Linked DNA regions of Oryctolagus cuniculus. The protein of the gene in region 2 interacts with the protein of the main gene of each other region in a biochemical or structural test. Links are inferred from orthologs where the notes say so. Each region holds a gene or a part of one and is shown on either strand. Other genes may lie near its edges. The genes, in order: PGF and FLT1.

Region 1 (4,446 bases), on a different chromosome or scaffold from region 2:
CCCTTCTGGCCCTGGCTACCTACGGCCCAGGAGGGAGGAGATTCAAGAAAGGAAATGTGTTATCCTGGGAGTAAGCCTCTGCCCAGGCTGCTGGGGGGGGGGGGCGAGGGCTGGAAGAGCCCGGCAGGTGCCCGGCCTGCCGGGGGACGCCCTGTACAGCCACTGAGCCGCTGGGCACCTGGGCTTAGCCCTGTGCTGCTCCCAGAGGCACAGAATGCCCATACAAGGCAGGACCATGCAGTCCCTCACGAGAGGACGGCATTGTCAGATTGTGAGAACTGGGGTCCACAGCCCATTGAACTTCCTGGGGCCACCATTCAGCCTCCCACCCCGGATGCTGGGAGATACATCCGCCCATGCCTCCTCCTTGGACTTGAGAATGCTGCAATCTTAGAAAAAGAAAGAACTTTAGCTGTCGTGTAATCTCCTGTTCCCATTTTACAGATACAGAAACTGAGGCGCAGACATTGCCTGAATTAGACTAAAAGCACGAAAGAGGGTACTATGTGGAGGTGAGGGATGGGTCCCTCCCCAAACCCTAGCACCACCAGTGAAACCAAGGGCAGCTACCTCCCCTATCTGCCCGGAGGCCAAGGGTCCCAGGTGCCCAGGCATGGCACAGCCCACAAGAGGCTGGCTGCCTGGCTGAGAGGCAGCAGGCAGCAGGCAGGCCAGCAGAGGGTGTTCCCAGCCCGCAGACGGCTATCACGCGTGTGCGTGTGCACGTCCCTACACGCCCCTCTCCCACGGCTCCGTGGGAAGCCTCGGCAGTGGTGTGTGGCTGCCCTGCACGTCTCAGAGAGGCAGGGAGGGAGGAGCGAGGCAGGGGGCCTGGCACAGGCCTCCCGCCTCCTGCACGTATGTCTCTTTGGCAGAGTCTCCTCATTGCCCTTTGAAGATTCCCTCCTGATGCAACCCAGGGCGGGGAGTGGAGGGGCCGGGGAGGGCGCGACTTGTGTTCTGTTTGTAATCACTGGAGAAGCCTGGTCAGATCCCTGCCACTCCGCCAGGGCTGGGCTGCTGGGGAGGGCCTGTCCCCACCGCCCCCCACGCACACCCTCTTTGACTGCGTGCCCTCCGTGTCCAGCTCCCGGACCCCCAGGCTGCCCCTGGCACTCGCTATCCATGCAGCCCTCCAAGATCGCATCTGCACCCTTACATCATGCTGGGAAGAGGCTCCGAGCCAGCTGGATGATGCCGGGCTGTCCTGGCCGCAGCCGGGCTCTCGGCGTGCTCGGTGACCCTGGCCCACGAATGCCCCTCTCCAGGCCTCTGGGTCAGAGTGGGTGGGTCTCTGAGGCCCGCCAGCCTCGGCAGCCAGGATGTGCAGCTCATGGACCCTCCCAAACATATCATCAGCGTGCACCCACCCTTCACACCCATCCCTTCCCGGCCTCTCGGGAGGAGAGAAGCGGGGACCGGGTGCGCCCACAGCCCCAGCTGGCTGGCTTACCTTCCATCTCTGAGGAGCCGTTACCAGCAGACAGGGCCCACTGCTGCGGACAGAAAGGTGCAGACGTGAGAGGGGGCTGCCGAGGGGCTCTGTGCTCTGGGACAAACGTGGTGGAGGCGGGGAGGGGCCCCTCGGAGCTCCCTGAGCGGTGTACTCTGCCCTTTCCCAGAGTAGCCTCTCTCCAGGGCTCCGCTGGGTCCCGCCCCTCTCTGGCCTCAGTTTCCCACACTGGGAGAAGGGTGGGAGGCTGGAGCTTTAGGACATCCTTTGCCATCCTGTGGGGTCTCCCTTTCTACCCAGCCCCCCAGGCCAGCCCTGCCGGGCCCTGAACAGCCCGCCTTGGCTGGGTGCCAGAGCCCAGAGGCGGTGATCAGCTGGTGGGAGCTGAGGGGCCAGAGCCGGTGGCGCCAGGAGCTGGTGCTGCTGGTAACGTTACACCTCTGGCCAGCCCTGCAGCAGGCAGGCAGGCAGGCGGCTGGACTGGCCAGTCCAGCCCACCCCTGGGCTCTGGCTGGGGACTCCCGGGGTAGCGCAGTGGGAAGGGAGCTCATTGGCTTTGTCAGGACTGCGATGCCCAAGCTGGCTACCAGCCAGATTCACCCGGCTCCTGGGAAAAGGGTCCTGCTCACTTCCCCAGGCCCCTCATGCAGGACTTCTGGCCCCCCAGCTAGGGATGGAGGGCAGAGTGGGACCCCTTGTCTCACTGCCAGCCCACCTCCCAAACTCCCACCTCCACCCAAACTCTGTAGAGAGCCCCTCTGGTGGGCAGGGCCTGGGCTCTCCACCACCAGCCTCTTGGTCCAGCTTCCGCCCTACCAGGCCAGGTCAGAGGTTCTGGGGACGCCTGGCTGGTCACAGGGACTCCACCCTGACCACAAGGCCGGGGACCTGGCTGGGATCAGTGGACAGATGCTTTTAGCAAAGCAGTGAGGGTTCCAGGAACCAGACAGGGAGCTTCTCCCTCCCCTCCCTCCTGCCAAGACAGCCCCCAGCCCCACGCTGGGGACAGCCCACCTGGGACTAGCTCCAGAGGTCAAGAGTCCAGTGCCAAACCCCTGGAAGCCTGCGGGCATCCTTGGAGCCCCCTGCCCGGAGTGTTGGGATGGGCAGACCCGGCCGGCCAGGCTGGGAAGAGGGATGTTCTTACCTGTGGGGGCACGGCGGGCAGTGCCAGCCCGGTCAGGAGCTGCAGGAAGCAAGTGAACAGCCTCATGGTGGGCATCGGCTCAGACTTCCAGAGCCAGGGTGCTCCAGGGGGAAACAACCATGCTCGTCCCCCGGGCCCTGCACCGGAGCAGAGGCGCGGGGAGGGGGCAGGCCGTGCCCTCAGCGCTGCTCCGAGGCCGCCGCCGGCCTCAGCATCCTCTGGACGCCCCGGGGAGTCAGGAGCCCACAGGTACGGCTGCGCTGGGGAACCTGCCGCGGCGTGGCCCGGTGGCGCGCGGCGGGGCGGGACAGGCGGGTCCCCGGGAGGGTCCGTCGGGCGCCGCGTGCGTCCTCCGGTCCTCCTGGCGGCCGGGCAGTTGTCTGAAGATGCAGTTTCCTGCTCAGACAGCAGCTCCCTTCTGAAGCTGTCGGCGACAGGGTTTCTGGGCTGTGCATCGGGGCGGGGCTCCAGGCCGGCCCCGCCCACCGAGGCTCCGTTCTCGCAGCCGCGGGAGCTGCCGAGAGCCGAGCTGAGAGCCCTGCCCGAGAGGAGAGGGGGCGGGGGTTGGGACGGCGGCGGGCCCCCCAGCGCGCTCCACCGTGCAGAGCGAGGAAGGGGCGCTGCCTACGTAGCCCCTACACCCTGCCGAACTGCCCGTGCCTGCCCACCCGGGGCTCCCCAGCTGCGTGCAGGCTGTTATGCGACCGCCACCTCGGGTGGGGCCAGCCGTCCAAGCTGAGACTTCAGCCGCCTGGCAGGGGCCGCAGCCCGGACCCCCAGGATGGCTAGCCCCTGGAGGGATGAAGACCCCGGGTCTCAGAGGGTGCTCCTGCCTGCACGTGCCCAGCAGAGAGACGAGCACACCCTGGGGAAGGGTATGTGGGTATGAGGACCTGCAGAGACAGACCCGAGCTACTATGCAACTCCAGAACCCTCGACACCTGACCCACTGCCTTGGGGCCAGACACTTAGACCGCATTGCTGGGCAGCTGTGCACCACCCACGGGCAACGGAAACGCCTGGGGCTCCTGGCTGGGGGTCCATCTGGGGAAGCAGTCTGCCCCCTGGGGAGCAGGGTGGCCAAGCCTGCCTCTCCTCCTGGCCTTGGAGGAACTGCGGGCATCAATGCGTGGGGAGGTCTGTGTGTGTCTGTGCAGGTCCACGTGGCTGAAGATACGTGTGCTATGTGTCCCAGCCTGTGTGTGCCCACTGCTTACCTCCAGCTGCAGCTCTGTGTGCTGCGTACCTGGGTGTGATTCTGTGTGTGTCCCTCTGCTGTGTCCCTGGACAGTGTGCAAGTAGATCTGAGTGTTTATTTCTGTGTCTGGCTGCCTCTGTCTCTGCTCATGTGTGTCTTTCTCTGCGTGCCCATATCTGGACAGGTTTCGGTGCGTGACTGCTCATCTGTGTGCACGTGTGCCTGGTCTGTTCGCTTCTTCACTACCATCACCTCACCCATCCCTGCGGTTTGTTCCCTGGCTGCAAGATCCCAGCAAGCTGGCTGAGCCTGGGGCTGGTGGATGGCTGTGGGGGAGGAGACAGGCCTGGGAGGTGGCCCAGCAGCTCACATTCCAGCCAGAAGCAGGGAGGCCAGGGCGGCAGCCCGGCTCTCACCCCCGTGACCTCTGCGCCCGCCGCCTGCCTGCCCACCCACGAGGGGCTGCCAGAGACATGTCTCCTTGCCTGTCCCAGAGACCCAAAGCCAGGGACCAGCCACTCGCCAGCTAAGAATGTTCCGACGAGCTCCAACATGCTAGGGGCTGTCGCATACACAGAGTCCTTCCTGGGACCAGCCCGGGTGCAGGGTTGCTGTGCACGTGAGAGACGGTTCGTAGACAACTGGATC
Region 2 (4,558 bases):
AAACAGAACTTTCTTCACGCCCCCAGGTAAAGAAAGTGGTTCTCACCTGGCCGATGTTTGTGCCCCATTCTTCCTACAATGTCTAAAATCTTCTTAAAAGCCCCAAACAAGTACCAAGATTTCTGTTCTATTTAAGAAAGTTATAGTCTAAGAGGACCCACTTCACATTCCCGTAAAGCTTCCACTCCTCCAAGATGTTCTCAATCATGAAGCTAACTTCACGAAAAATCAGCCACGTTTTTGAAGCAAGGATATATACATTCGCGGTACTCCCAAAAGGTCGTGGAAAAAGGAATTAAAAGAGCAATTTATTTTTGGTGCACAAAGAAATGGAAATCCCTGCCATTTTCTCATAGAACACATTTTCCATAAACTTTTTGAAGATCCTGTGGTATGTGAGAATCCAATAAAATGTGTACTTTTCCCACTACAGCGTTGGCTTCACAGTAATTTACCTAGATTTACCTTTACATAGTCGAGGAATGAACCAGGTAAATTCCCTAAGCAATTGAATTTTAGCATAAGCGACTTTTCAAAAAACAAGATACACCTCTACGAAATGAAAACACAAGCTCTGATTTAATGTGCTAATTTTGGGATCTGTCCCAACCTCCGCTGAGGGCTCAGCCACTACCGCTTCTCTCTGCCTCCCGCCTGAGCAGCGTCACCGACTTGCCAGGGACCTGTCACTTAGAAACCCGCGATCACAGCAGTCTTCGCATTGAGAAAGACTGTTTGCTCCTGCCTTGCGGGTTTAACAAGCCTGGTGTCTTTTTGGTTTTTATTACGCTCAGCCTTCTTGCCTTCTTCCTGCGAAGGGCTGCAATGATTTATTTTACGTTTTTCTATTTTATGTCACTGCCTCTTTTACCTTTTCTCCACGATCCTGAAAAGGAACGCGCCGGGCGGTCTGCTCCTTAGGCGCTCAGAGTGCCGAACGCACCGGGCTGGGCTCCCTGCTTCACCGAGCGGAGACCTGGAGTGCGATCCCCCGTGTCCCCTGGGCTGTGACCCCTCGCGGCAGCTGTCTCCACGCCAACTGCCGCTAAAACCTCCGCGCCCCTGCCTGACCTTTCCGCCGCCCCTGTCCCAAAAGCCCGACTGACTTCGGTGGCGGCGCCGACAGGACATCACCGATTTCCACTCAAAATGTAAAGACCGGACTTACAACGTCAAACCCTGACGCTGTTTGGGCCCTCGCCCGCCTTCGGGGGTCAGGGTCGCTCCCCGCCGGCGACCTGCGCTGGACGGCACACCCTGCCTGCTCCGCGCAGGGGTCCCAGCTTGGTGGCTGCGCGCAGCGCGCTCAGGACCCCTGGTCGGCTCCGGGCTGGGCGCTGCGGGAGCTCCCAGAGCTCCTGGGGACGGTCCGGCTTGTTGGGACAGTTTCGCCGGTCCAGAGACACCAGCGCTGGCCCGGTCCCTGGATGCGCCCGCTCTACGCAGGCACCAGCACGCTCCTGTCTGGCTCTCCTGCTTCCCTCTCGCTGTGCGAGGTCCTGGCCAGTGCCCAATATTGCCAACGCCCTGATCGCCTCCCACTCCCGGGCAGCCTTGCAGGCGTTCCGTAGCCGCTGCTGTTGGTCCCGGAGGGCCCCGCAGACCCGCGCCAGGCAGCCAAGGACAGGTTCTCGTTGCCAGGTCAGCCCGAGTGTGCGGTGCTCCCCGTGCCCACATCCTGGATGGGCTAGGTCCTGCCCCGGAGCAGGGCAGAGAATCCTGCTTTAAAGGGGCAGCCCCAGTGCCAAACTCGGGCGCGCTGCAGGCGGCGGGTCTGGGCGGTGATGCCCGCGGGCTCCGGTCAGCCACTCTCTTAGGAGCCCACTTGGAAAAAAAGGCAACGCGGTCCCGGGCGTACCCGCCGCAACTGTCTCCGGTTCCCGCCGGGCTCGCTTCTCGCGGCTGCAGCCTCGCCTGCCTTCCCCACGTATGCACCTGGCCCCGACTCGGGGGGCGAAGGGGGCTTGGTCTCTGCTCCATGGCCGTCCCAGCCCAGCGCCGCTCCGGCCCCGGCCCCCTGCCGCGCCTCACCTGTGAGAAGCAGACAGCCGAGCAGCGCGCACAGCAGGACCCCGGTGTTCCAGCAGCTGACCATGGTGAGCGCGAAGCGGCCTGCTCGCCCCCGGTGCCTGCGCTCCTCGCGGCCGACCACCCGGTCGCCAGCACTCGTCCTCCCGCGCTCCGCCGCCGCCTCAGCCCGCCGCGCGCGCTCCTGTCCTGCGCCCGGAGCGCTCCTCTCCGCGGCTCCAGCCAGGAGACAACCACTTCCTCGGCCACTCCTCGCCGCCCGGCACTCCGCTGGCCGCTGTCCCCGAGTCCCGGAGCCGCTCCGAGCTGCCGCCGCTGCTGAGGAGGAACTGAGAAGAGTGTCCGCCTGGCGCGCTCCGAGCCTCCCGCGGACCTAGATTGAGAGGAGAGGAGGGCGGGGGCGATTTATAACCTTTCCCCAGCCCACTTCCTACCCCGGCACCTCCTTCTAGTGACGTCAAGGGGTCTCCCACCCCTCATCCGCCTCCCCACCTACCCTCTTCTTCCTCCCAGGCTCGCTTCCCTGCGGCCCAGGAGAGGGGCGGGGGCCGGGGGACCCGGCGCCGGGCGCGCGAGGGGAGGCGCTGGCCTCGCGGGCCCGGGAGCTCGGCCCCGGCAGGTTCAGGGTCCTCGCTCCGTGCCCTCCTGCCCCTGCCCCCTCCCGCTCCTCGCGCTCAGGAAATCCTCGCAGGCTCCCTCCGCCCGGCTTACTCAGCTCTGGGGGCCGCCAGACACTGGGGAGGGGACAGGGCTGGAGCTCAGCCGCCCGGCTCTCGGGCCGGGAAGTCCGATCCAAGGGAAGCTGGCCGCGCCTCCGAGACCGTGTCCTTGGCACCGAGGAGCGAGGCGCAGTCCGGCTCACTCGCTCTGCCTGCTTCTCTCGCGCTGCCCCCGCCGCCCCTGACCCCGCCAGACTGTCCCGAGAAGTCTCAGAAGGTGCCAGAGACCCTCAGTACGAGTCACTGACCAGGAGCGCCCGAGAGGACCGGACGCCCGCCTGGCACCTGGGGAAAGACTGCGAACCGGCTCGGGTCCCAAGGGAGCGCGTCTGAGACTTTTTCGGCGGTACCGAAGCACCCGCCCAAGTCATTTCCTCAATCCCCTGCTTCCCAGAAGCAAAACAAGGAATAGCATCAGGATACCTTTAATTAAAAAAAAAAATTAAAAGGCGCGGAGGCTGAAAAACTCCCCTACAACTCCTGAGGGCCCAGTACTTCGCTTCCCAAAGACTGGGAAATGCTATCGGACTGGTGGCAGCTGGCTACGCAGGACGAGTGACTCTGCTACTCTTAGAACTAAACCAGGCGACGTGAGGTACTAGATCATTTGTCAGGACACTCATTCCACGCTCTGCCTCAGCTGGGTCTCCAGCACCCCCAAGGCTGGGGTCATCCTGGGCCCCACCGAGCGTTGCGGTCTCACCTAAGTCCCACAGGTTTGAAAAAGCAGATGGCCACGATAAAGACACTGCGTGGCTCCTGAACGGGACTGGTGAGTCTTCCTGAAGGAATGGACGACCTCCCCGCCTCAGGGAGCTTGGGCAACGCGAAATTGCCACATCTTGGGCCACACGGCAAGGAGAGCTGCCGCCCGACGGCTCCCCGCAGGAGACCCGGGTCCGGCCCTGGAAGCTAGGGCACCTGCACCTGCGCTGCCATCCTTCCATCCCCCATGGTTCCCCGGAGGTGTCATGGTTCACGTGCTGCTTCCCAGCCCTTTCTAATGCTCCTTATCCCTCTGGCTCGCGGCCCCCCCCCCTCCTTTTTTTTTCTGCCTCCAGCCCAGGTGATTCCTCCAAACCACTGAAAGGAGTGGGGGTGGGGGGTTGAGAACAGGGTTTTCCCCAGCCCATCCCCCAGCCCGGAGACAGGCTGGGGCACACGCAGAGCCACGTTGACCCTCTGCCTCATCTCATTCCCTCACCCTCTCCCTAAGAGAAGCTGGCAGTCCTGCCCTCCTCCTGCTGCACCCACGGGGGCCAGGCTTTGTGCCAGGGCACAGCCCTAGGATGGAAAGACCCTATCTCTGCCTTCTAAGGGGCTGGGAGTGTGGGCAGGGGGCCATGGCTTGGGGCCCCCAGGACAATGCTGGAGGGGAGTGAGCTTTTCAGGAGAGACCTTGGGCTGCTCTAGGGGAAAGAGGCTCAGCATGCAACAGCCAAAGGTTTACTTTCACTGAATCCATTTTTTTTCACGTGCTCTTTTTAAATTTTTTTTAAACACACAGAGATAGCACTTGCCAAATCTGCCACCAGAGTTTAGGCTGCATCAAGTCTGTAAAGCAAGAACAGGTATTGGAGGGACAGCTGGAGCAATCTTTACCATCGGATACACTCATTAAAAATACTAAAGCATTGCCTAATTATTTAGGGTTGAGTCATGGTTGGATCGAACTTAGATTAATGTGAATATCGTGCTGTGATTAGTGTCCTTTAGAAACTTTATTCTTTTGAGAAGCTGCAGGTTTTTGCATTAGTCAGCCATTTCTTTACTACTACTTCCTTTTGTTAGTTGTGGTAGTTTCCTACAAA

Evidence for each region.
Region 1: the proteins of FLT1 (region 2) and PGF are reported together in a solved structure, tested with the Homo sapiens proteins (2 studies listed by BioGRID and IntAct, with this or other methods). The link is inferred for Oryctolagus cuniculus from reciprocal best matches to the Homo sapiens genes FLT1 and PGF.

What each region holds. Positions count from the first base shown.
Region 1 is NC_091451.1:21,008,995-21,013,440, forward strand, and holds the start of PGF (placenta growth factor), read right to left. Parts: upstream 3,015-4,446; 5' UTR 2,676-3,014; coding exon 2,601-2,675; intron 1,497-2,600; coding exon 1,454-1,496; intron 1-1,453. UniProt on the Homo sapiens protein: Growth factor active in angiogenesis and endothelial cell growth, stimulating their proliferation and migration. It binds to the receptor FLT1/VEGFR-1. Isoform PlGF-2 binds NRP1/neuropilin-1 and NRP2/neuropilin-2 in a heparin-dependent manner.
Region 2 is NC_091440.1:86,019,430-86,023,987, reverse strand, and holds the start of FLT1 (vascular endothelial growth factor receptor 1), read right to left. Parts: upstream 3,024-4,558; 5' UTR 2,740-3,023; intron 2,729-2,739; exon of another isoform or gene 2,525-2,728; intron 2,402-2,524; 5' UTR 2,096-2,401; coding exon 2,032-2,095; intron 1-2,031. UniProt on the Homo sapiens protein: Tyrosine-protein kinase that acts as a cell-surface receptor for VEGFA, VEGFB and PGF, and plays an essential role in the development of embryonic vasculature, the regulation of angiogenesis, cell survival, cell migration, macrophage function, chemotaxis, and cancer cell invasion.